Linked DNA regions of Neurospora crassa OR74A. The protein of the gene in region 1 purifies or fractionates together with the protein of each later gene. This does not show direct contact. Links are inferred from orthologs where the notes say so. Each region holds a gene or a part of one and is shown on either strand. Other genes may lie near its edges.

Region 1 (11,966 bases):
CGGAAAGCACGTACGTAACCAGTCTCTCCGACTTCATCCATATGCAACACGACAGCCATCGCTGACCTGCGCATCCATCAGTATGGTGTCTATCACCATGTCACCGGCGTCGACGCGTCCTCCTCGGCCAGTCTGGCTGCTTACATCAACACCCTGACCTACAAGGAGTTCGGCAATTCCGCCACTGCCAAAACCGTCGAAGGAACTTATTGGTAATACCACTCTTTGACCGACTGCGTTCTGGGCTATTCCTAACAATCGCTCGTTCCAGCTGTTACAATGCCTTCTCCCGCGTCGACATGCGCGTACACGCTCCCTTCCCCGGCTCCGTAGAGAGTTATTGCGTTGACGAGCGGGGCGAAAAACGAAAGGCAACCGACGAACTCTGGCTCGAAACATACCTCTGCAGTGTTCTCCGCGCATACTCGTATGCCGACGATGGAAGCGGCGAGACAATCAGAAAGATCATGGGCGTCCGGCGTTTCAACCCCGTTTCCAGTACCGAGACCGAACACAAATTCCTCAGCGCTGCCGAGCAGCTCTTCTTCAGGGGTACCACTCCCCAGCTGTTCACCCTGCGTACAAGCGATTTACTGACTCTCCTATAATAGGCTGGCAACTTGGGTCCGACTCCGTGGTGCAGGTGCCAAACAATGTCTCTAACCACTTGACAGCCGGCCTCCTAAAGTATTTCTCCACAACAGGACGCCACACTTCCGGTATCAATCTCTTTGAGAAGCTTCGGTCGCAAAACGTTGAAGTGGCTTCGCTCTTGGCAAAAGTGCTCTTCATGGGAAACGAGGAGGTGCAAGGAGTCCGTGTTTTGTACGAGGCCCTCAAGGAATCGCCCATGGATTACGTTATGCTTGATACCCAGGCCGAATTCCTTCTCAAAAAGGCCGAAACTGCCCCAACGCCAGAGCTGAGGGAGGAAAGACTACGCATGGCTCTGGGCTGTGCAGACCGAAGTACGATAGCCGCTCCTAGTGAGTTCGGCACGTGGGCAAGACTGGCCCAGGTCTATGTTGCAATGGAGGATTGGGAGAATGCCTTGACCATCCTCAACTCGTGTCCCATGTTCACATACCAGGACAAGGATGCGCCTGTCATGCCAGAACCCAAAGACGTTAACCTACCGACCCTCCCAGAGACCAGGTTGGACGAAATCGACAGCGAGCCAGATTCGAGGTTTTCGGAGCAGGTCGACCCAAGTTTGCTTGGTCTTCGCGCCGCTGCGTATCGGGGAACGTTCAAGCAGGCATACAGCATTCTCACCGAGATGACTGCCAAGATTGGCTGGGATCAACTTCTCAAGATCAGAAGCAACGTTTTTGTTATGGAAGACGAGTATCGAAACGAGAAGCAGGAGCCCTCTTACCCTGCCAAGCGCAATGCTAGCACCGATGCGCTGCGTGGAAGCCCGGATCATACTACGAACGGCGAAACCGCTCCCAAGGAGGCTGCCGAAACTGACGAGGTTGAGGACGAAAAGAAGAATGCTACTTTGGCTGCTGAGCAAACGGAAGGCCTGGAGAGACCTCCTAGCGCTATCGACCCAGAGGTAGTCCGCAAGGCCGAAGAAAACGTACGTCTCCAAGCCGATGCTTCCCTTTGGCAGTTTACTATGGACACGATGCTAACACATGATAGGGTGATAACGAGGATCACTTCTCGCGCCTCAACAACAAGCGTCTATGTGAACGGTGGTTAGACAGCTTGTTCATGGTTCTTTACGAAGATCTTCGCGTATATACCATTTGGCGCACCCAGATGGCTCAGTACAGAGCGCAGAGTATGCAGTACAAAAAGTCGGCGGAAGAGTGGGAGATTCTCGGCAGTCTCGCAGAACGCCTACAGCATACGGACGAAGCGGTTGAGGCATACCGGGCGTGCTTGGGTCAACGCTTCAGCCCCAAGGCGCTCACCGGTATTCTCAAGGTGTTTGAGAAGCAAAAGAGCACACGCGAGAGTGTCGCCGCTCTCATCAGGTTGGTAACTTGGCAGTATCGGTGGTACAGCGAATTCTCACCCGAGCTACTACATACCATCCGGACACTCATCGAGGACGAGGGTGCTGTGAAGGTCAGGAGTATCATCCAGGCGACCAACCTGCCACAGAACGTGCTGGACTTGACGCATCACTATGCGGCGTTGTGTGCTACTTTCCGCAGCAGCGGGACCGACGGCTAGGTTGCTGGGGTTTGATATTGGGGTGCTGTTGATGAAGTGATGGCTGAGAGACGACCATGGCCGTTTACATGGTATGGACGTATACATGATGCCTATGCGTATGGAGAGCAGTCGCGGAGTTGTTCGTATGATAGCGAGTTTTATCATTAATAGAGAATTTGAGCGGCCTGATGAGATATGATAAGCATTGAAAGTTCCAGTTGATGCTATCTAGACTCCTAAGTATAGAGTCTTAGGTCTGTGGACTGTCGAGTGGCGGGAAGACCCCGGCTTATAGCGATCCCCGTTTTGACTCCGGGGCGATTCCCAGCCCCGGTCATCGGGCCGGGCTACCCGTCCTTCCCGTCTTAGCTATGACGGGACCTGCGCCAGTTGTCCCCAATCCGCTCCACAGAGCGGCGTCCCCCCACCATTTGGAGTTTGGCCCCCCAGTTTGCGCTCCGACCTTGGAACCTGCAGGAACTTGGAACTTGCATAAAGCTAGGTTGCTCTTCTTTGTTATCCCCGGAGGTGCGGGGCTATGGTACCTTATGGTTGCCATCAACGTCATCACATATGTAGAAGCGTGGGATAGAGAGCCACAATCCGTCAAAGGCAGTTCGTACAGTAATACAAACAGGCACCAGAATGATGGAGAAGATTACATTGGAACGGATAGGAATCGGCTCTCCACCGTTCGTGGGAGGAGAAAGTGGGGGTTGACTAAGAGATGGGGCTCCAAGCCTTATAAATCATGTTGAACTGCCCTTCCAGTCGTCGTTGATTCTCAATCATTCAAACTTTCTGTTGTCTTTCATGTTGCCTGTCTCACGCGCAATTCCCAGAATACCAAACATCACAAACACCGCCAGATATTTCTTCAGTAAAACAAACACCATGGCTCCTCTGTAAGTACCTTTACTTTGGGGATGAAGTGCCAGGAGAAACCCCTAGAAGAAGCTCACCCGAGCTTACAACTGTCAACAGCAGCAAGACTCACAAGCTCAACACGGGCGACGAGATCCCCGCCGTTGGCCTCGGAACCTGGCAGTCCAAGCCTGGTCAGGTCGAGAAGGCCGTCGAGGCCGCCCTACGTGCCGGCTATACTCACATCGACACCGCGTATGCCTACGGCAACGAGAAGGAGGTTGGCCAAGGCATCAAGGCCTCCGGCGTCCCACGCGAGAAGATCTGGCTCACCACCAAGCTGGACAACGACTGGCACAAGCATGTCGCCGAGGCTATCGATACGTCGCTCAAGAACCTGGACACCCCCTACGTTGACCTCTACCTGATGCACTGGCCCGCCAGTCTTGTCAAGGGGAACACCAAGGAGGTGTACAACGACTGGGACTTTGTGGACACCTGGCGCGAGATGCAGAAGCTGGTTGACACCGGCAAGGTCAAGAACATTGGTGTCAGCAACTTTGGCGTCAAGAACCTGGAGAAGCTTTTGAGCGCCGAGAGCACCAAGGTAAGCAAGATTGTGCTCCTCCTCCTCTTCAAGTTTTGTTGTGAATTGATGAGGACCTCACACATATAATTACAGATTGTTCCCGCCGTTAACCAGATCGAACTTCATCCTGGTAACCCGTCCCCCCACCTTGTCGAGTATCTGCGCTCGAAGGGCATTCATGCTTCGGCCTATTCGCCCCTCGGTAGCAGCGACTCGCCGCTTTACAAGCTTAACAGCCTCACCAAGCTCGCCGAGTCCAAGGGCAAGACTGTGCAGCAGGTTCTCCTTAGATGGGGTGTCCAGAAGGGCTGGAGTGTGCTGCCTAAGAGCGTCACTGAGGAGCGTATCAAGGCCAACATTGATCTCGAGGGCTGGAGCTTGACCGATGAGGAGATTGCTCAGATTGATGAGGTTCACAAGGAGAACAGCTTCAAGGTCTGCGGCGATGACTGGTTGCCTGTCAAGATCTTCTTCGGTGCTGGCGACAGCGACTAAGCGTCGTACACCGTGCAGCCAAGAGGATGCTGGCAAGATATTCCCCCCATAGATGAACAATAATGAATAATGACACCAGAAAATGCTCGCTCGAGATTAATGACTGGCTATGCTCCGTGACCACACATCTGTGACATCCGTTCCGACCAACCCCGCTCCCTACAGCTTCGCTTTCTCCCTTAGCCCCCTCTCCCCCTCCTCCTCCTCCTCCCTAACCACCTCCGTGACAAACCCTCTCACCCTCCTCGCCAACTCCTCCCCCTCGTCCTCATCCAAATCCTCCCTTTTCCCCCTCCCAAACATGGTACTCGTAAATCTCTCAGCCTCCCTCAGCCCTGGCCTGGGAATGATATGAAAATGCATATGCTCAACAACCTGCGCCGCGGCCGACCCGTTGTTCTGGACCACGTTCCAGTCTTTGATTCCCGTCGCCCGCGTCACTGCTTCCGAGAGGATCCGTAGGTAACGCCCCAATTCGGCGGCTTCATCGGGAAGAACGTCGGTGAGTTTGGCGGCGTGCCGACGGGGGCAGAGTAAGAGATGGCCTGGGGAGAGGGGCATGATGTCGAGGAAGGCGATCAGGAGGGGGGTGGAGAGGAGGAGGAAGGTTTGTGGTTGTGGGGAGGTGGAGGTGGAGGGGGGGAAGGGAGAAGGGGGGGTGGTAGGGGGGTAGGGGGGGAAGGTCGAGGAGATGTGGCAGAAGGGACAGTTGGGTTGGGTATCGGAGGAGGATGAGGATGAGGTGTTAGTGGCGCCGGCGCCTGTCTTGGAGGCGGGAAGGCTGGGGTCGAAAGTGTTGGCGTCGGGGACGATGGAGCGTGGAACTGGTGTTGCTGGTGGCTTCTTGTCGGTTGAAGAGGCCATGGCTGCAGTCTGGCGTATGACGTAGTGATGTGTTTGAACGATTGTATATGTCGAAGAGCCCCGAGTTAAACTTGAACTGAAGAAATACTCAAGGGAAATCTCGACAAGGGCTAGGAGTGAAGCTGATCTCGCTATGTAATGATGCCGAGAATGATTGTTTGCTGAGTACGCCCCGTAACCAAGGACCAATGCGACAGAATGTCAAACAAATAATCAAGAAGAACGCCTTGCTCCGTGACAAATCCGAAAAGGAAACACCACTAATGACTCTTGTATGATGATTTCTAGCTGATGACTAAATAGTAGCTCAGTGAAGTACGGGACGAGAGGTCCGGGGCGGCATCTGAAAAGACCCCAAAGCCAAACACAAGTGAAGCACCGGGCCCGTTCCCCGTCCCTGTCTTACCTCCGCTTGCCGGCGGGCATCGACCCGGTGGTGTGCAGTGGTGAGGCGCCAGGGCTGCCGCGAACAACCTCGGCCTCCAAACTCCGCCGAAAACGTGGGGGAATTGCCTGCCGCGCTGACAGCTACCCACAGAAGAGTGGAGAATTTATCATGATATGACAGGGGTAACTTGCATTCGCAAAGTCCGAACGCCGCCTGCTTCTGTCACCCTTTGTCAAAGTCTGGAACTTTCTGCCTCAGCGTCCCGCCTTTTTTTACCTTTCGTTGTTCGCGTCCAGTTGAAACTCAGTCGCCTGTATAGGTAGCGCTCCGTCCCTCTCGTCCGTCGCAAACCACTCCACCGGTAAATATTCAACATCATCATCATCATCAACCGAACGACATCATCGTCGCATATCGCTATAAATCGCATAACATCGATTTGTCGTCGCCTCAACACAAAGACAATCTTACACGTTGCATAACCGTCATCCAATTTATCCGAGCAAACCCGACGACAAACAAACCCAAACCACAAATACCACACCACCCTCAACACAACACAAACAACCAAGATGTCTTCCCGCGAGCAATACCAGGTCCCCAACTCCCAGGGCTTCACCACCGGTGCCTCTAACAACGACGGCAACAGCGGTGGCAGCAGCGTCATGTGGTACACTTGCGGCGACTGCGCGGTCCGCGTGCCGCTCGAGAAGGGCGCTCCTATCCGTTGCCAGAAGTGCGGTGCGCGTGTTTTGTATAAGGAGCGCACCAAGAGGTACGTTTTCTTTGGGCTTACCCGGTGGAAGATTCTGAGAAGGTGGGAGAGAAAAATCTTATGCTAACGACGGTCTGGGGGTAATAGAATGGTTCAGTTCGAGGCTCGGTAAATGGTTTCTTATTCGACTTTGTTCGACTTGGGGCCAACAAAGGAGGTGTAGAAAGGGGTCGCTCTTCCTCGATGCCGTATCGGGCTGAAGTTTTCATCGTATTTGGACCGGCCGGGATGTCCTGATGCCCAAGGACGGGAGCCGAGTCAGCCTTGGAGGCAACGGGAACATTTGTCGAGGGGAGCTGGGACCGTAGGAGACTCGAACCGTCGATATCTTGGTGTGATTTTGCACCATTAGCGGTGGCTTAGCATGGCCCAGCCTTGAACCTACGGCTTGTTGTGATCAGAAGAAGGGAGATATCATATTCATCACAATATCATGATGGCGGCGTTCTGGGAAATATCGGTAGACTTGTGGGAATTTATACAAAGAAAGCATTGCTTTTCATCATCGTCATCATCACCTATCACCATCAGATGGATCCGTTCTGTGATGCTTCTCATTATTGATCATGTTTTTTGCCATATAGAATATTGGTATGGTATCACTCTGAAAACGCCGGTTGTATGCTAAATCTCCTTCCCTCTCGATCACTTGTCTTGCCAACACTGCTCCATAAATCCTTTCCTTACCAATGGCCAATCTCATCACCTCTGGCTGTGGAGGTACTTTGCAAAACTTGCGTCGGCCAAAACCGAATCATCCTCGCCCTGCATGGCAGCGGCGTACCTCGCCTGCAATCCCTCGCGGTCATACTCGTCGTTGGGATCGTCACCATATTCCTCGTCGCTGCTCTCCTCGTCCGTGCTCAACGGCTCGGGGGCCTCTTTATCATTGACGTCACCCACTGTGACGTCGCCCGCCGCGTCGCCCATCGACATTCCCTTCATCATTTTGTTGAGTTCCCTCTCCCGCGCCTTCTTCTTGTTCTCCTCCCTTTCTTCGCGCCTCCTCTCGAGCTCAGGCTGGTAATCGCGCTTGAACTCCTCTGCCTTCTCCTGAACCGCGGCAAAGAACTCGTCAATGCCCGTCCCGTACAGCGAACTGACGCCCACCACGTTCAGATGTGCGTAAAACTCCTCCAACATCAGACTCATGCTGTTCAACAGCGAGCCCATGTATCCGCTGCCCGAGCCCATGCCATCGCCGCTGCCCTCCGCTCCGCCAAACGCGTTGTTGGTCTCGTCCTCCTGCAGCGCAGCCTGGAACGCATCATAGTCGGTCATCCACTCCTTTGCAAAAGCCGGGTCCTTAACGTCCGACTTGTTGAAGACCAGAATCATGGGCAGCTTGGTCTTGTAAAGGATACTGCAGGCGTACAGCATGTTGCTCATGAAGGTCGACGTCGAGCTCGTCCGGGGGGTGTCGATGATGTAGGCGATGACGGTGGGGAAGGATGAGGCGAGCGACTCAAGGAGAATCTGGCCCGACGCGGACCAGACGAACACCTCGATCTGGCCCGGCGTGTCGACGAGAATGTGCTTGATGGGCGTGTGCGTCGGGTCGTCGGGCTTGGGCGCCGTGCGCTTCTCGAGCAGGCCGAGAACCTGGTCGACTTTGGTGGCAAAGAGGTTCAGCGATGTGAGAATGCCGCCGTTGGGGCCGAGGTTGTACTGCTTCATCACCTCCTTGTAGTTGACCGAGTCGCGGATGTCAATGTTGCTCTCGAAGGGCGAGTGGGTGACTGCTGGGTCGAGGTTGATGACATAAGGAGGCTCCTTCTTTCCGTGGAGATGGGCATTGATCTGTTGCATAAAGGTTGTCTTGCCGGATCCTGGGGAACATGGTCAGCTGGATGATTCCGCTTGCGGTTGGGAAAAGCACAGAACATGAGCATGCGTAGACCTACCTGCCATGCCAACGCAGACGATGGCAACAGGCTGGTCAGCCTTGGCGGCAGACGATGCCGAAGTCGAAGCCATGGTGCGACAGCTGTGCACGGGTGCGTGGAAGATCGTTTGGTGATCTCTGTGTTATCTGTCGGATAAAATCAAAGTTGTTGCAGATTTCAGTTTGCGCAGAGATGGTGTTGTAATGAGTCTCGGGAAGAAAGTTTCACGGATGTCGTAAGCGGCGGGGTCACTGCTGTAGGGATGGTCATAGGTGGTTGCGACGGAGTGAATGTCCGAGGGCCACAGAGGGGCAACACCGCAAGAGAAAAAAAAAAACAAAAAAAAACCAAAGTCCATTGATCGCCTGGCGTAGCGGGCGGAAAGGTTCCATCCATCAAGGCATGGGTGGGGTGAAGGGTAGGTAAGGCTTGGCATTTTGTTTTCCCCAAAGTGAAATGACTGAAACCTCGACATTGGTCTCTTTTCATCCTCTCACCCATTCATCTTCCAACTACCTACGCCTTCATGTTCCTCGACATCCAATCCATATCTGGCCGGCTCGCATCTCATCCATCATCTTTTTACCAATTTGGAACTAAATCAGTTGGCGACCTATACCCTGTTATCATGCCTATATCAAAAGCCCATATGGCCTGCTTGACAGCTTCTTGTTTTCAGCCGAGCCGCTGTTAATCCGCGAATACCACAGCCCTCAACCGCCGCAGTAGCTAGTCGACACTCGACCTAGTAACTTGGCGGTCCCGCTCTTCAAGTTATACCCCGGTATTATGGGTGCCTGGATATTTTAGGATCTCAACGGCTGGATGGCATAGCACTTGCCGCGGGCAGACAAGCCCCGAAGGCTTCATCGACCTCACAGGCTATTGTTCAATGAAGTCTGTCCACTTGTCCAGTTTCAACTAATCCTTTCACGCCTAGCAATGAAGCCGGATACGGATGCTTTTTGGACAATTCGGGGAGTCGTCGAGTGGCAATTTGATACTGCTGAACGAGACCGGGATAAGCGATGGGAGAAAAGGCGTCTCACGTCATCTTCGGAAAAGGTCAGGAACTATAGGCAGGATGCTGGCGGGGGCGATTCACCAATGCCAATGACCGCTAAACCCATGCTAAGCGTATGGTCGGTGGTCCCGCGCTGGGGAGTGGGCGCAGCCGGTGGCCTCTTATTGCGTCAAAATTCTCTTCAAAATGGTGGGTGATGGGAGCTGGGTTGGTCCAATAAGCCACAAACGTAATGGCAAGATCCGTCTGTTCGGCACTACCAGGAGGCAGCGTGGCCGGGAACCAAGCGGCCATCCACAGGCTGCCCCTCATGATACTCAGCCCTACCAACCTACCTCTACCACGTTCTATCCATTATACTCCAAGCTGACCCCCAAGATCCGTTTGAATTCTCTCCCTCCCACTTCCTCTCTTGTTTCGTCTCTCGTCCCACACCAGGGCCAGATTCATCATCCGACTTGGGCCAAATTCCAGCGACTCATCAAATCCAGGCTTCGGAGATCGGCTACTATACCCTGCCCACACCTCTATAGAGGTGAATAAACTTTCATTTATCGGTGTTACATATCTACCCACAGCATCCAATGTCCACCATGTTGCGCAAGAAGGAAGCCTTCACCGTTATCACGCCCATCCCGGGCTTCATTCCACGACAGTTGGCCATCGACATCCTTCATTCTCATTCTGAAGTCATTACTCTTAACCCTCTTGTCCTCGACCACAAGCCCATCGCGGCCCCCCAGGATGCAGAAACAGACGAGTATTATGCGACATGGTATGAGATCACCGAACGAGTCACGATTCTGCCTGGAATTGGGAGGATGGGGGCTACAACCATCAAGTTCAATGGCTGCTTTCACGACATGCCGTGGGGTCTTCAGACTCACATATACGCCCCCATGAACGTTGACCTTCGCAACACCTATCGCATCGCCGGTAATCAACCAAACTTTGAGCCTCCAGAGCCACTTGAGATGGGGTTATCAGCTCTTGGGGCACCGTCGGATGGGTTATATCTCCGTGAGGATATTGAGATCAAGTGCAGTCGCACTGTCATGAGCTTTGTCAAGTCGCAAATGAAGAAGGCGGGTGGGGAAATGGTGAGACGCATCATCAAGAAGGCTGAGTTACTGGATGCTGGCGTGCTTCAGGCTATGATCGAGGACGGAAAGCTGAAGACGTTCAACCCGGCCGACAAGAGGAATACAGTCCGACGACCGGCGGTGGCTTCTCCGGGCCCTCAGTTTTCGCCCACATTTGCCAGCTCATCGGCCTCTGGTACACCACCTCAGTCTCCCGGTATTCCCTACCAGATCCCGCGACCGCTATCTGCTACTCCCAGTCAACACCGGTCAAGTACTCCTGGATCCTACCACCGTCCTAACAGCTACGGAAAGGCACCAGCTGCTTTCGGCTATGGAACCCCGAATGGACCACAGGAGCTGTCTGTCACCAACCCTGAACCGGTCTCAAATGGTCCGATTGAGATGCCAGGCGACTTCTACCACGCCCCATCAAACCTTCAGCCTCAATCTCTGTCATCCTCCAACCGAAATTCCAGTCAGTCATACTCGTCCGACCGGCCACAAGCAAGCCCGAACCCATCATTACGCAGCGGGTTCCCGTCTCCCGCTTTGGACAAGAATTTTGGACTACAGACTCACCAGGAAACGTCCGAGGAGCACAGGGAGGAGGCTTTGAAGAAATTAGACCCGCGTATCCCGCATCCGTCTCACTACGCTCCGTATAATCCAGCGGATTACGGTCCCGTGGACCCGTTGAAAGTTCCCGGCAACCAGTATGGACACAGTCCACAGGCTCAGCAGCTGTATAAGAACACATACACAAGGTGATGGAACAGGAACGAATTTAACAGGTTTTTTTTTTTCATTTTTTTTTTCCAATGTGGCTTGACATTGGATGATAGACAGGCAGGTGGCTATATCTTGTTTTTTTTACTTGGTTCTTCAAATACCCATTCGCTTTTTTCTTTGCTATAATATGTGTACAGACTTTTGACTTTATGTGATGATGAAGACTTGGACGGGAAAAAGAGGAGTTAGCGTGCTGGTTCATTGTCAAGGCACTTGAAGGTTCGATAAGATCAATGTAATTCTTCACTTTGCAGGCGCCAAGTTGAGAGAGCATTGTCCCGTAGGCCTAACCAAATATCCTCTGCAGCACTTCCAGGCAGCAAGACTTAAATTAGTGTCACACCCATTCATCACAGTATGTGCGTGATGTGCTATGGTGGAATATCAAATGCAACTGCATACTTGACTGCCAAACATTCTCTTGCTAAAGTTACTCTTCCTCTTCTCTCCCGAACGCAATCATTGTACCGATGGTTGTTAAGAATCGAAATCGAGATGATTCTTGAGCCTATATCAACTCGGAAGACGGGTGTATAAAGATGATCTGGGAGCATTATCATAGTTGGCAGCACAAAGACTGGACTTTCGATTCTTCCTATCCATCGGAGGGTTATCAGTCATCAACACTCTGAAAACTGCAAACGGCTTTCCGTGCAGCTAAGCTTAGGCTTCGTTTGAATATCTTCCCGTTGATATCACATAAAGTGTGCCAGCGGCTACCGTTTTGCTGCTGTGTCGTACAGTCAGTGGTGAGGGTGGCTCAAGACATTACACATCTAGTACCGGTGGTAAACGGTAGAAGTCTAAAAGTGAAATGACCAAGCTATGCAACAGGATGTTGATAACGTTGACGTATAGTAAGAGGACCACTACCGTGGCCATGTGGATAATCTCATGCATCTTTACCTCAATAAAAGGTTCAATGCTTGTTGGGTAGATGGTTATCGTGGGATCAGATCGAAGTGAGGTTGCTGATAAAGATATGGAATGGAATATTACCTCTTGCGGTTAGTGTAAGCAGCAATTGGCGCTTTT
Region 2 (11,135 bases), on another chromosome or scaffold:
ACGTCCAGCACATCACAGCACACACTTTCGCTACACCAAGGAACCATAGCAAAGTGCACGGCAGGGCAAGCGGACGGATTTGGCAACATTTCCAGCAATAGTACCATCAGGCTTTGCCGGGCCATCAGCTATATAGATACCAGCCTCATTCGGTTGCTGCTGGCTGGCTGTCCCATTACGTCGTGTTCGCTTTGCTGTCAATGTTGCGCCCTGTCTGCGCCCGGGTTGCATGTAGTGTTTATGCGTTTCGCCCTGTTCCATGTCTCCTTGTTTATTTATTCCTTTGTCTTTTTGGTCCGAGGCGACGTGCTACGTATGGGAGGTCCTTCCAGAAAGGAGGGAGAGCATGGTTCAACGACGTTGCACACAAAGACAAGCCCGGCGGGTCCCTGACATATGAGATCAGATACAGCATATATCGAAGCCAGAAACCGTCAGAGACACTACATCCGCCGCAGTACCTTTTCCTAAAGGCAATGTATAAAGCTTGAAAAGTAACCAGTGCTTTATCAAGAGCGCCACGCAATTGCAGCAGTTTCGCATTCCGATGGAAGAGGGGGCACGATATGTGGTTGTTGTTCCACAGATGGCGATGGCCGCACAGGTTGGGACGGAAACGCCAGTACAATGCAGACCCTTTGGGCTCATATAGGTTGTCGGACGTCATCGGTGTTGAGACGTGAAATGACATGGAGGGTTGGGTTTAGCATATCCGGAACCTAGATCCTAAGCTTCCCCATCCGGATATCCCCAGACTCCCGCTTTGCTCGAGGCATTCTCTCTCTCCATCACGAGTCCACAGTGGACGAGACACTTGACACCAAGGCCGCCCAATTCCGGACCGTTCGCAATCTTAATTGAATCTGAAGACAAGCCTTCACCCATGTCGAATGGCTGAAAAAATCGCTGCCCAAGGCCGATACTTCCAACGGCAATGTCCATTGATGTGATGAAGTGATGAACTTTTTGCTGGTCGAATGGGAATTCCATGCCATTGCGCCGCCAATTGATGGTGGGGTCAGCATAGCCTTGCCAGCTGCCGAATGCCAATTGGTTTTCAGCTGCCGGGCCGTCGTGGGCTGCCGAGGCTGCCAAAAGCGAAACGCAGAAGTCTGTAGTCTGCGGCAGGCAAGACCAATGAGCACCGGCACAGTGCCGGACAGACCAGCCAAGGTGGACAAGCTCACGGTGGCACGGCCTCAGCTGGATTGCCTGCCACAAGCCGACTCCAGTGGACTGGACTTTTGAATGGCGATCTCTTTGACCATGCGCCGATACCAATTGGCAGTAGCGCCAGACGCCGCGAACGAACAATTCCCATTGCTACGCTCGTCCCCAGACTCTCAGAATTCTGACTGCAACTGGCACAACGCCGAGAAACAGCGACTCCCTCTCTGGTTCGGACCTGCGCGTCGTCTGCCCCAAACAGCTCCCTCTTGCGTCCACCGTCGTCGCCGACCCATCGATTCTCTCTTTGCCCCGGGCCATTATCCAACAGTCAACAACTGAATAATTGCTTCAGCCCATCTGAAGCGTGGCAGTTCGTCGCCTCCAACCCTCTCAGCATCCGAGTCGCCAGCCAGCGGTCCAGTCGCAGTTGAGCATGCTGTCGCAAAGATCAAGGAGCCAAGACAAGAACACCGCAACGGCAACGGAAGAATAACGGCACCAGCGACCGGCATCCTTTTCCTTCCCTTCCTCTCCAACGAAAGCACCACGAAGCACCACACGCTTTGCTTTAGCCGACTACACAGGTACTCGGCCACATCAACTTGCATCATTCTGCCGCTGAGACGAGACGTCACCTTCTTTTCAGCCCGTCGCTCGCTCCACTCTCACCTTCTCATGACCTTTGCGCCTAATCCTACCGACTCCGCCGACCGTCTCCTTTTCCCTAGGTTGCCTCCTCGATCTGCACCTTCTTAGTTTTTTCCTCGACTGCGACCTTCGTACAGCAAACGTGCGCCAAGTGCCCTCGACACACAGACACACAACCGAACCATTACTCACAGTCCCTTATTCGGGTGCGCGCAGGGCGACCCCAGCTGCTGCTGCATCCACCATGGAGGACGGCCATCACTCACCGGATTCGACCAAGGAATCAAAGTCGGAGGAACACTCCAAGATGAACGGCTCCAAGCTAAAACGGGATGGCGCCAGCAACGCCGGCAATGCGGCCACGCCAAACGGCTCCCAGACCGGAATCTCGAGACCCCCAAGCATGTCGCCCGACGAGCACAAGGCTGCGAGTGAGAGCACAGCAACTCCCAGCGAAAATGTCCCGACACAAAAGCCTTCGCGAAAGGCGTCTCAGAAGAACATGAAGAGGGAACCGGTGCTCTTCAACCATCTCCCCGACGTGAGGGAAGAGGCATGCACACATTTCCAGGTCATTCATGACTGTCTCTATGGCTCAAAGAACATGGGTGCATCCGAGCACGATGCGTTGGATTGTGACTGTGCGGAAGAATGGCGTAAGTGAAAATATCTTCGGCGTCCCCTTGCCGCTAGCGTCATGTCCCCTCCGGCCCGCCCGCCCGCCGACACCCCCCCTTAACCGAATACTGACACCTGGCTCATCGTATAGGCGGTGATATGAACCATGCGTGCGGGGAAGATTCAGACTGTATTAATCGGGCCACGAAAATGGAGTGCGTTGACGGCGATTGCAACTGTGGTAGCGGATGCCAGAACCAGCGCTTTCAGCGAAAACAGTACGCCGACGTATCGGTCATCAAGACGGAAAAGAAGGGGTTCGGCCTCCGGGCAAACACGGATTTGCAAGTTAACGACTTCATTTTCGAGTACATTGGCGAGGTCATCAACGAGCCGACATTTCGCAGCCGCATGGTCAAATACGACAAGGAGGGCATCAAGCACTTCTATTTCATGTCACTAACCAAATCCGAGTTTGTTGATGCCACTAAGAAGGGCAACCTCGGCAGGTTCTGCAACCATTCGTGCGATCCTAATTGCTACGTCGACAAGTGGGTGGTTGGTGACAAGCTGCGCATGGGCATTTTTGCGGGGCGCGCAATCAAGGCTGGTGAGGAACTGGTGTTCAACTACAACGTGGACCGCTATGGCGCCGACCCGCAGCCTTGCTACTGCGGTGAACCAAACTGCACCGGTTTCATTGGCGGCAAAACGCAAACAGAGCGTGCAACCAAACTGCCGCCTGCCACCATCGAGGCGCTTGGTATCGAAGATGGAGACAGCTGGGACACGGCGGTGGCGGCCACCGTCAAGAAGCCCCGCAAGAAGAAGGCTACCGAGGACGATGAAGAGTACATCAACCGCTTCGAGCCTCGTGGCCTCGATGAAGAGGGTGTCACCAAGGTCATGGCCACGCTCATGCAGTGCAAGGAGAAATGGATTGCCGTCAAGCTGCTCGGCCGCCTTCAGAATGCCGACGATGACCATGTCCGGAACCGGGTTGTTAAGATGCACGGATACCAGATTTTGAAGACAACCCTCAACACCTTTAAGGAAGACACCAATGTCGTACTGCAGATTCTCGATATCCTGTACCAACTCCCCCGCATCACCAAGAACAAGATTACCGATTCCAACATCGAAGCCGCCGTCGAGCCCCTCACCCATTCCGACCATGAGGATGTCGCGTCGCAGTCCAAACGATTGCTTCAGGAATGGAGCAAATTGGAGACAGCCTATCGCATCCCGCGCAAGAAGCTCGACCCCTCCGCTCCCGTAACCACAAATTCGTTTGAGGATGACCGCCGCAACGTCAATCATGAGGAGCATCCCTCAAGACCTGTCAATCCGTTCGAGAACATGGTTGTGCCCACGGGTCCCCGCAGCAACATTCCCCAACGGAACATGAACTACTTCAACAACCAGAGACCACGCAAGCTTCCAACGAATCTTCCTGCAGGATGGTTTGTCACCACTGACAGCACAGGCAAATACTACTTTTACGACAAGAGCGGCCATACCCAGTGGCAGCGACCTACAACGCCTGCTGTCGACGTGCCCAAGCCCTCTGCCAAGGTGGAACAAAACCAAAAGGCTCTGCAGGATATCATCGACAGTTTGACCAAGGAGCCGACGCCCCGCCATTCTGCGAACCAAACCCCTAAATCTAACACACCCGTGCCAGACAATGGTAAGAAGGAGAAGTGGAGGTCTCTTCCGGTTGAGAAACAGATGAAGATTTACGAAAACACGGTATGTCCAATCCCGGAAGCCAACTGCCCCTCCTATTGCGGTGACGCTAAACAAAGTACTTTCAGCTCTTTCCTCATGTGAAATACGTCATGGACAAGTTTCACCGAAGACTTCCCAAGGAAGACCTCAAGCGGTTTGGCCGTGAGATCAACAAGAAACTGGTTGCTTCCGACTACAAGAACCACCGTGTCGATGACCCTACGACCATTTCCTCCAACCAGGCAAGGAAGATCAAGAAATTTGTCAAGGACTTCTTTGATCGTGCTGTGGTCAAGCACAGGGAAAACGAGCAGCGCGCTGCACAGAAAGCCGGGCCATCATCTTCCGGCGCCCCATCGCCTACCAACGGCGGTTCAGCCAAGTCACCACTTGGCCGTAACGGCGCCAGCAATGCCACCGTCAAGACCCAGCAGCCCGACGCCGATGGCGATATTGTCCTTACAGACGTGGAGGATGAGGGCGAGAATACTCCTGCCACCTCCAGCTCAGACCGCAAGAGGAAGCGTGCGGAAGAGCAAGAGGTTCCGGCGCCGGCATCCGAAGCGATACCTTCACCGAAGCGAGCCAAGGAGGACTCGACAACCGAAGACTCGATCCCCAGCCCTCCGCCCCCTCCGCCGCCGCCGACAGATACTCCACTCACCGAAGAGGAGCGATCAATGCGCGAGCAAGAGGAGGCCTTAATGAGGGAGAACGAAGAAGCGCAGAGGCTGGAGGACGAGGAGGCCGAGCGCCGGGTGAGTGTTACTGTTCAGGGAGCGGCTGTCGCGACCAGCAAGGTGAACGGAGTAAATGGGACCAAGGCCCACCATACCTCAGAGGCATCACCTGCTGTTTCCGATGAGAATGGGATGGACGCTGGTCGTGATGAGAAGAGTCATGAGCAAATGGCACAACAGGAGCCCGTCAGTCGTTAGCTATCTTTTATAAGTTCTTTTTCTTTCCTTTTTTTTTTTTTTATCTTTCTTCTTTCTTTCTTCTTCCGGGTGTGTGGAAAAGAGTCCAATGGTTGTTGAAAGCAAATCATGGACAGAGAGGCACAGTTCAAGGGAAATGCTTGAATGGCTCTTTCCTTATCGGTTCGTTGCATGAAAAGGTTACCGCCTAACCGCCCTGGAATCATTGTTGGCTGGTTGGCATTAGAAAAGTGGTTGGTTTGGTGGGTACTCGTTTATCCGGTTCATGTTGGTGGGTCGGTTGGTCGGTTGGTCATATATCCAAAATCGGTCGGTACACGGTCCAAAGGGTTGATGGTTTCCTGAGTTATCATTCTCAGCACGTCTAATGTCCGAGGAAAGGTGGACGAACAGACAGACAGGCATGGACTCTTGTTATTGCTTTCCTACGATGTTCCACTTTCATCAGCAACAAGTTTATCTTTATATTCAGGTCTAGATCGATGACGGATTGGGTGATGGATGTGCCGGTGCTGGGGACAATTCGACAGTCATCAACATATAGGCGGTAGGCTACTATAATTGGTGGACGAGGGGTACCAGTATTGCTGGCTGACTTTTCAGTCATGGACACACACGCACCTGCCCCCTTGTATTGCCTTGGAGGAATTTTTTTTATTGGTAGAGAACGCAATACCGCATTTTGACAACGGACGTGGTCGTGATGGTGGTGGCGACACTGCTGGTGGTGGTGGCGGTGGTGGTGGTGGATTGACACACACACACACACACAAATGATAGCAGATACATCCATCCTCGCTACATCCCAAACGGCCGGGCAGCTTCTGGCAGCTGATCGCTGGAGGAGCTGGTGTTGAAAAAAAGTATATCTACAGGAACCATGATACAGGTGGACTTCACAGTGAAGATATCTGCCAATAGCAGACGTGTGGCTACAGTGGACCTGGGTGGCAGATGCCTACTTGGTTGCTTGTTTCAAACTCATACAGAGCTCCCTCTTTGTCTCACCAACTCCTTTCCCTCTCCCTTTTTCTTTTCTTTTCTTTTCTTTTTCGTTGCTCTCTTTCTCTTTCTCTTTTTAAGGCGTTAGGTCTCAAAAACAAAATGGGAATCGGAGATATGGAAAAAGCATTAATCGGCAACGGCGTTTATTATTATTTTTTTATTATTATTTTTTTTATTTTTTTTGGGAAGTACCCGGAGTGAGATGAGAAACAAAGGCGTTCGTTCGCGTTTTTGATCTTGCCTATATATGTACACAGTAGTAGTTCCTTGTGGAAATCTATCGCATGGCATTGTTGTTTTCATCACTTGCGGTTTGGGTTTCTCATGGTATTCATTGTTATTGTTTTGCTCTTCATTAGGGGCAAGCAAGCGAGCCAGCAAGCAAGCAAGCAAAGTGGTAAACAGGCAGCCGGACTGGAACTGGACAGACGGGCGAGTGCAAACTGGTGCGAAAAGGCACATGGCAGAAGATAAGTAGGAAAGAGATAAAAGACATAGTGGGAAACTTGGACTCCGTTTGGCGAACTGGGGGGATATAATAAGCTAGAGAGAGAGGGAGACATCGATACGCTTGCCATTTCGTTGTACTCACGGCGATTGGGGATGTGATGTGGGTTGAACGAGGGAATATACCGCTGTTTGATAACATGGAATCTAGAAAATATTCTCTCATGAGTAGAACGTATTTGACAACAATGTTATTGGGTGGATACGGGAATTTTCGGGGGACAGTCTGATCATAGCGGTGAAGTCTTTTCGCTCGCTCGCTCGCTCGTGCTTGTAAGCATGAGCTCTGCGAAGATCTCGGTGGATCTTCGTCTACTTATTCACGTAAACACAAGTTTCAAACGTACTCGGCTCTTATGCATATCCGACGAGGCAACACGACCAAGTAATGGAACGTGAAAATTGCAGACCGTGAATCAAGAGCGTTTTGACTGGCAGGTTGTTCAACTAATCTGTAATTGGCTATATGTTTCCCAGAGAAGGTAGATGGTGATCATCCAAGAGGTTGCTAATATTGGAATATATCCATGCAAGAAAAAGAAAAGGGTATCTATCAAGCGCCGTCTCCTCAGGTCGTTAAAAAAAGGTATATCCAAGAACCAGAACCAAATTACCAGAGAAAAGTCAAAAGCCGCGACCAAAAACCGGGTCGTTTTTCCGTCAATCTTTATCTTTCCCACTCCTTTGCTGGCTTTCGACGCTGCTGCTGCTGCTGCTGCTGCTGCTGTAGCACCGTAGTGTAGCCTCCTAATCCTATCCCATCCGGTCCAGATCCAGAGTATCATGCCCTTCCTCCCCTCATATGTACCTATATATATACCGTTGATTATCATTAGACAAAAAGCCATTAAGTGTTGTTGTGTTTGGTTCCGTCTCGACGAGCATTACCTGCCTGCCCTCTTCGAAACGATCAGAGCAGCTCCATCATTTCAATTCTCATATCATATCATATCAACCACACCAACCCCGCCACCACCGTCGTCAAAACCGGCACCACCACCACCCCCAGCTTCCTTGACCCCAATGTGACTGCTGCACCACCGCCGCTCGTTGACGACGACACTATCTCCTCGGGCAATGTCTCATTAGCAAACCCCACGCCACAAACCACATTCACCATCTTGGCTGCCTGCACATAAACTCCCGCCACGGGCTGCTTGCGGTCGGCGGCAGCCGCATGATAGACCTGCATCGTCTCCCTCAGACACCCATCGCAGGTCGGCACCGTCGACCCGGGCAAACTGACATTCAGCGCCAGGTGATAGACATAGACGGAGCTAGGGTTGGTAAAGTTCATGACGGCGTTTGCGTAGCAGTATCCTTCGACTACTTCTGAAGAAGAAGAAGAAGAAGAGGAGGAGGAGGAGGTGGTGGTGGTGGTGTCTTTCAGACAGGTAGCCGAGCGAACGGGGGCGTAGGCGATCATGGCGACGTACGCGTCGCGGACGACGGTGTGGCCGGCGCGGAACTCGGCGCCGCAGTTGGCGTCCGAGATCAGGTCGGAGGCGAGCGAGGAGAGGTAGGAGGTGCAGAAGTTGGCGTTGGGAGAGCACGAGGCGTCGAGGACGCGGGTGAGCGAGACGAGGGAGCGTTGGGCTTGGAAGAAGGATTGGGAGCCCTGCGCGAAGGGGAAGGAAGGGATGTTAGTTATTGTATGATATGGATAATAGGAGAAGAGAAGGACAACAACAACAAGAACAACAACAACAACAACAACAAAAGCGGGGAACGTGGTACACACCTGCATCAATAACGAGATGGGGTAGCACTGGTTGAAAGTCTGGTTGTTGAGAAAAGAGTTGAGAAAAGCCGGGCAGTTGCTGTTGGGACCAAAGTTGGCGGATAAACTGCCGTCAAAGAACTTGGGTAGGGAGCTCGATACGGCGGCGGTCTCTTCGGCCCGGGCGGCGGTGAAAGTGGAAGTAGTACCCGTGGGTTTCTCGGTGACGGTAGAGACGGCGATTTGGAAGGTGGTTGTCACGGAGCCGGATGCCACGGAGGTGATTTCCTTTTCCTCACGCTTCCTCAACCCTCCATGCTTCAACTCCGCCTCCTCCGGTGATAGCAAGATCCATTCTCCTTCATCGATGGTTGGTGGTTCTGAGGTGTCGATATCCAACGGTGCATTATTGAAGTCGATGGAGTCGCTCAAGTCATCCTTGATTTCGATAGCCAGCGCCCGCGCTGTTACCTGGCTGACAAGGCAAAGCAGGACGACTAGGGTGACGACAACCCATTGAGTCTTTTGTGAAGAACGGGAGGTAAACGAGTACATGATCATGTCACGGCTGTAACAGAGTGTCGTAGCAGTTGGTGGTACATTACTCTGTGGAACAACACAGATGTCGAGTTGTAGGCTATGTAAAAACGAAGGACTGAAAATTTCCTGATCGGCCGGGTCAGACAGACAGATCGGTGTTAGGGCGCGTATGTCTCGGTATGGTTTAGTCGATCTCCCTTCGTATGTTGATGACCAGGACGGGGGGGTTAAGCGATGAGAGCAGCGAGCGAGCAAGGGAAGCGCAAGTGGGGATGTCTTTCCCGTCTTTATATCACTGCAGCGGTCCAGTTCCTCGTAGGGAGACCGGGGAGTGATGGGTGATAAATGGCGCCGGCCCAACAAGGCGGGATGGGGGTGAGGAGGAGGAGGAGGAGGAGCTAACAATCCAATGTTGGCATCTGTCTGGTCCAGTCCAAAGGCAGCGTCCCGTGGGCTCTACTTAGAAGAAAGGCCCAAGGGCGGGCGGGATCAGGGAAATGGTCCGATATGGGTAGGCGGGTAAATATAAGACGAGGAACAGAACAATGGGACACCAATGGGGACGAAGAACCGGTGCAATGCCGACGGTGGTTGCAGAAGCAGTGCAGAAAAAAAAAAGGGCGTAAGGTCTGCGGGTGTTCTGGCCAGAATGGAAGCTGGGGGCGAGCGGAGTGCGGACACTTGGTTCGCCCGGATGGATGGTTGGCTCGGCTGCGGAGATGAATAATGGTGTTGAGAGCAGGGCAGAGCCATGTACCCTGTCCTGTCTGTTGTTGTCCACCACGTTGAGAGATATTATAGAGGGAGAAGAGAAATGGCTCGAAGGAAAACAACTGAAAGAGGGCTGAGAGGGTTGGAAGAGGAAATTAAACAAAAAAGGCAGTCGGACAAGTGCTAATGTTCCCATTGGGGGTGGCACTACACTAGTGCTGTGCGTAAAAGCTGCTACTGTAAAAGATCTGGGTCAGGGGTAAAGTGGCAGAGAGGCCAGCCCCAATGCTTCTTTGTTGACGGTGGTGTGGTGTTTTTTTTGAGGCGTTGTGGCTGTCTTGTTGTGTCCCTCTGTGCCGTCCTCGAGCTTCGACAACCTTCTCTCTTCACTAGTTCGTTCCAAGACGTTGAATAAGCCGACCATGGTGGATGCTAAGCCCGGTGATGGCCTCGAGGGTGTTTTACTCGAGAACGGACCTCGATGTTGAGACAAGCAGAGTGGGATCTCTGTCTCGTACCTTGGAGATGCATGCGGAGTGGAGCAGGGGTGTGGACGACGAGGATGGTCAACAGGGGTCCCGAAAGAGGCCATCACCAACGAACGGGACGAGAGCTTGGACCGCTGGGCTTGGTTACACCGATGCAAGCAAGTGGGTAGGCGAGAAGCGTGGTGATCAATTATTGAATGGCGCATTTTATGTATAACAAAAGGTACGTACACTACATTATATGTATAGGCTGTACCATGTACGTGTAGGTATACATCGATACAGCGTATATAATGCAGGGGACCTGTCTTGCGCATCTCTGTCGCTGTTGCTGCTGGCTGCGCATTGGCTCGGGTACATGAAGCCGACTTTGTGCATTTTATTGCTTCCATCAGCCTTCCATACCTAGCTCTCATTGGGTGAACTCGGTGGACCAATCAAATTTGCTAAAGAGAGGAAAGAAGTCGTAAACGGTTAATGACAATTATTGATGGTGGTTGATTGTGGTGGTTTGGTGGCGTTTGGGTGGCTCTCTTTCAGCCTCCAGATGAGCGCAAGCGACGGGAGGAACGTACGAAAGAAAAGGTTGGGAACAAGTCCCACAACTTCAGTTGTCATCTCATTGGACGAAGCGATGAAAGCCAAAGACGGACGACGGCCCATTCAGCGTGCGTGCGTGCGTGCGTGGAAGTGGTACCTGGTAGGGTTCAGCATCGCATCAACTGGATGATGAACCCGATTTAGATCAGACGCAGGTACAAGCCATCGATGTTCAGTTGACTTCCAGATCGGTGGTTGAGGGGGGCCAAAGATGGAAGAAAAGGCCACCACCTCACTGGCGACCGCAAACCCCAAAGCAGGTACGAGGTGGCACATAAGCGAGATTTGGCTTTTCATCAGCACCTGCTGCCAAGCGAGTGCGTCCGTGCGTGTAAACAAATCGATTTTGTAAGCGAATCCGTCTCCCATCACTGTCGTCGAAGCAATCAATCATCAACACACTTGCTTCGTTGGCCTCGGACTTTTCCCAATTGCACCCCGGCGGATGCCCACAGCGAA

Evidence for each region.
Region 2: the proteins of NCU04508 (region 1) and set-2 purify together in Saccharomyces cerevisiae (affinity purification with mass spectrometry; 3 studies listed by BioGRID). This does not show direct contact. The link is inferred for Neurospora crassa OR74A from reciprocal best matches to the Saccharomyces cerevisiae genes RPC10 and SET2.

Annotation. Positions count from the first base shown.
Region 1 is NC_026504.1:3,136,502-3,148,467, forward strand, and holds NCU04508 (hypothetical protein), read left to right. Parts: upstream 1-5,613; 5' UTR 5,614-5,944; coding exon 5,945-6,147; intron 6,148-6,234; coding exon 6,235-6,259; 3' UTR 6,260-6,703; downstream 6,704-11,966. Other genes in the region: NCU04511 (bud site selection protein 7), read left to right, coding at 1-10, 82-212, 272-552, 612-1,585, 1,651-2,190; gcy-3 (aldose reductase), read left to right, coding at 2,986-3,077, 3,157-3,643, 3,719-4,120; NCU04509 (HIT domain-containing protein), read right to left, coding at 4,280-4,984; NCU04507 (ATP binding protein), read right to left, coding at 6,850-7,976, 8,052-8,124; NCU04506 (hypothetical protein), read left to right, coding at 9,642-10,910. UniProt on the Saccharomyces cerevisiae protein: DNA-dependent RNA polymerases catalyze the transcription of DNA into RNA using the four ribonucleoside triphosphates as substrates.
Region 2 is NC_026503.1:3,235,137-3,246,271, forward strand, and holds set-2 (histone-lysine N-methyltransferase), read left to right. Parts: upstream 1-1,336; 5' UTR 1,337-2,062; coding exon 2,063-2,474; intron 2,475-2,587; coding exon 2,588-4,188; intron 4,189-4,253; coding exon 4,254-5,105; 3' UTR 5,106-5,848; downstream 5,849-11,135. Other genes in the region: NCU00270 (hypothetical protein), read right to left, coding at 7,564-8,235, 8,359-8,898; NCU00271 (hypothetical protein), read left to right, coding at 10,033-10,242, 10,326-10,335, 10,624-10,820. UniProt on the Saccharomyces cerevisiae protein: Histone methyltransferase that trimethylates histone H3 'Lys-36' forming H3K36me3. Involved in transcription elongation as well as in transcription repression.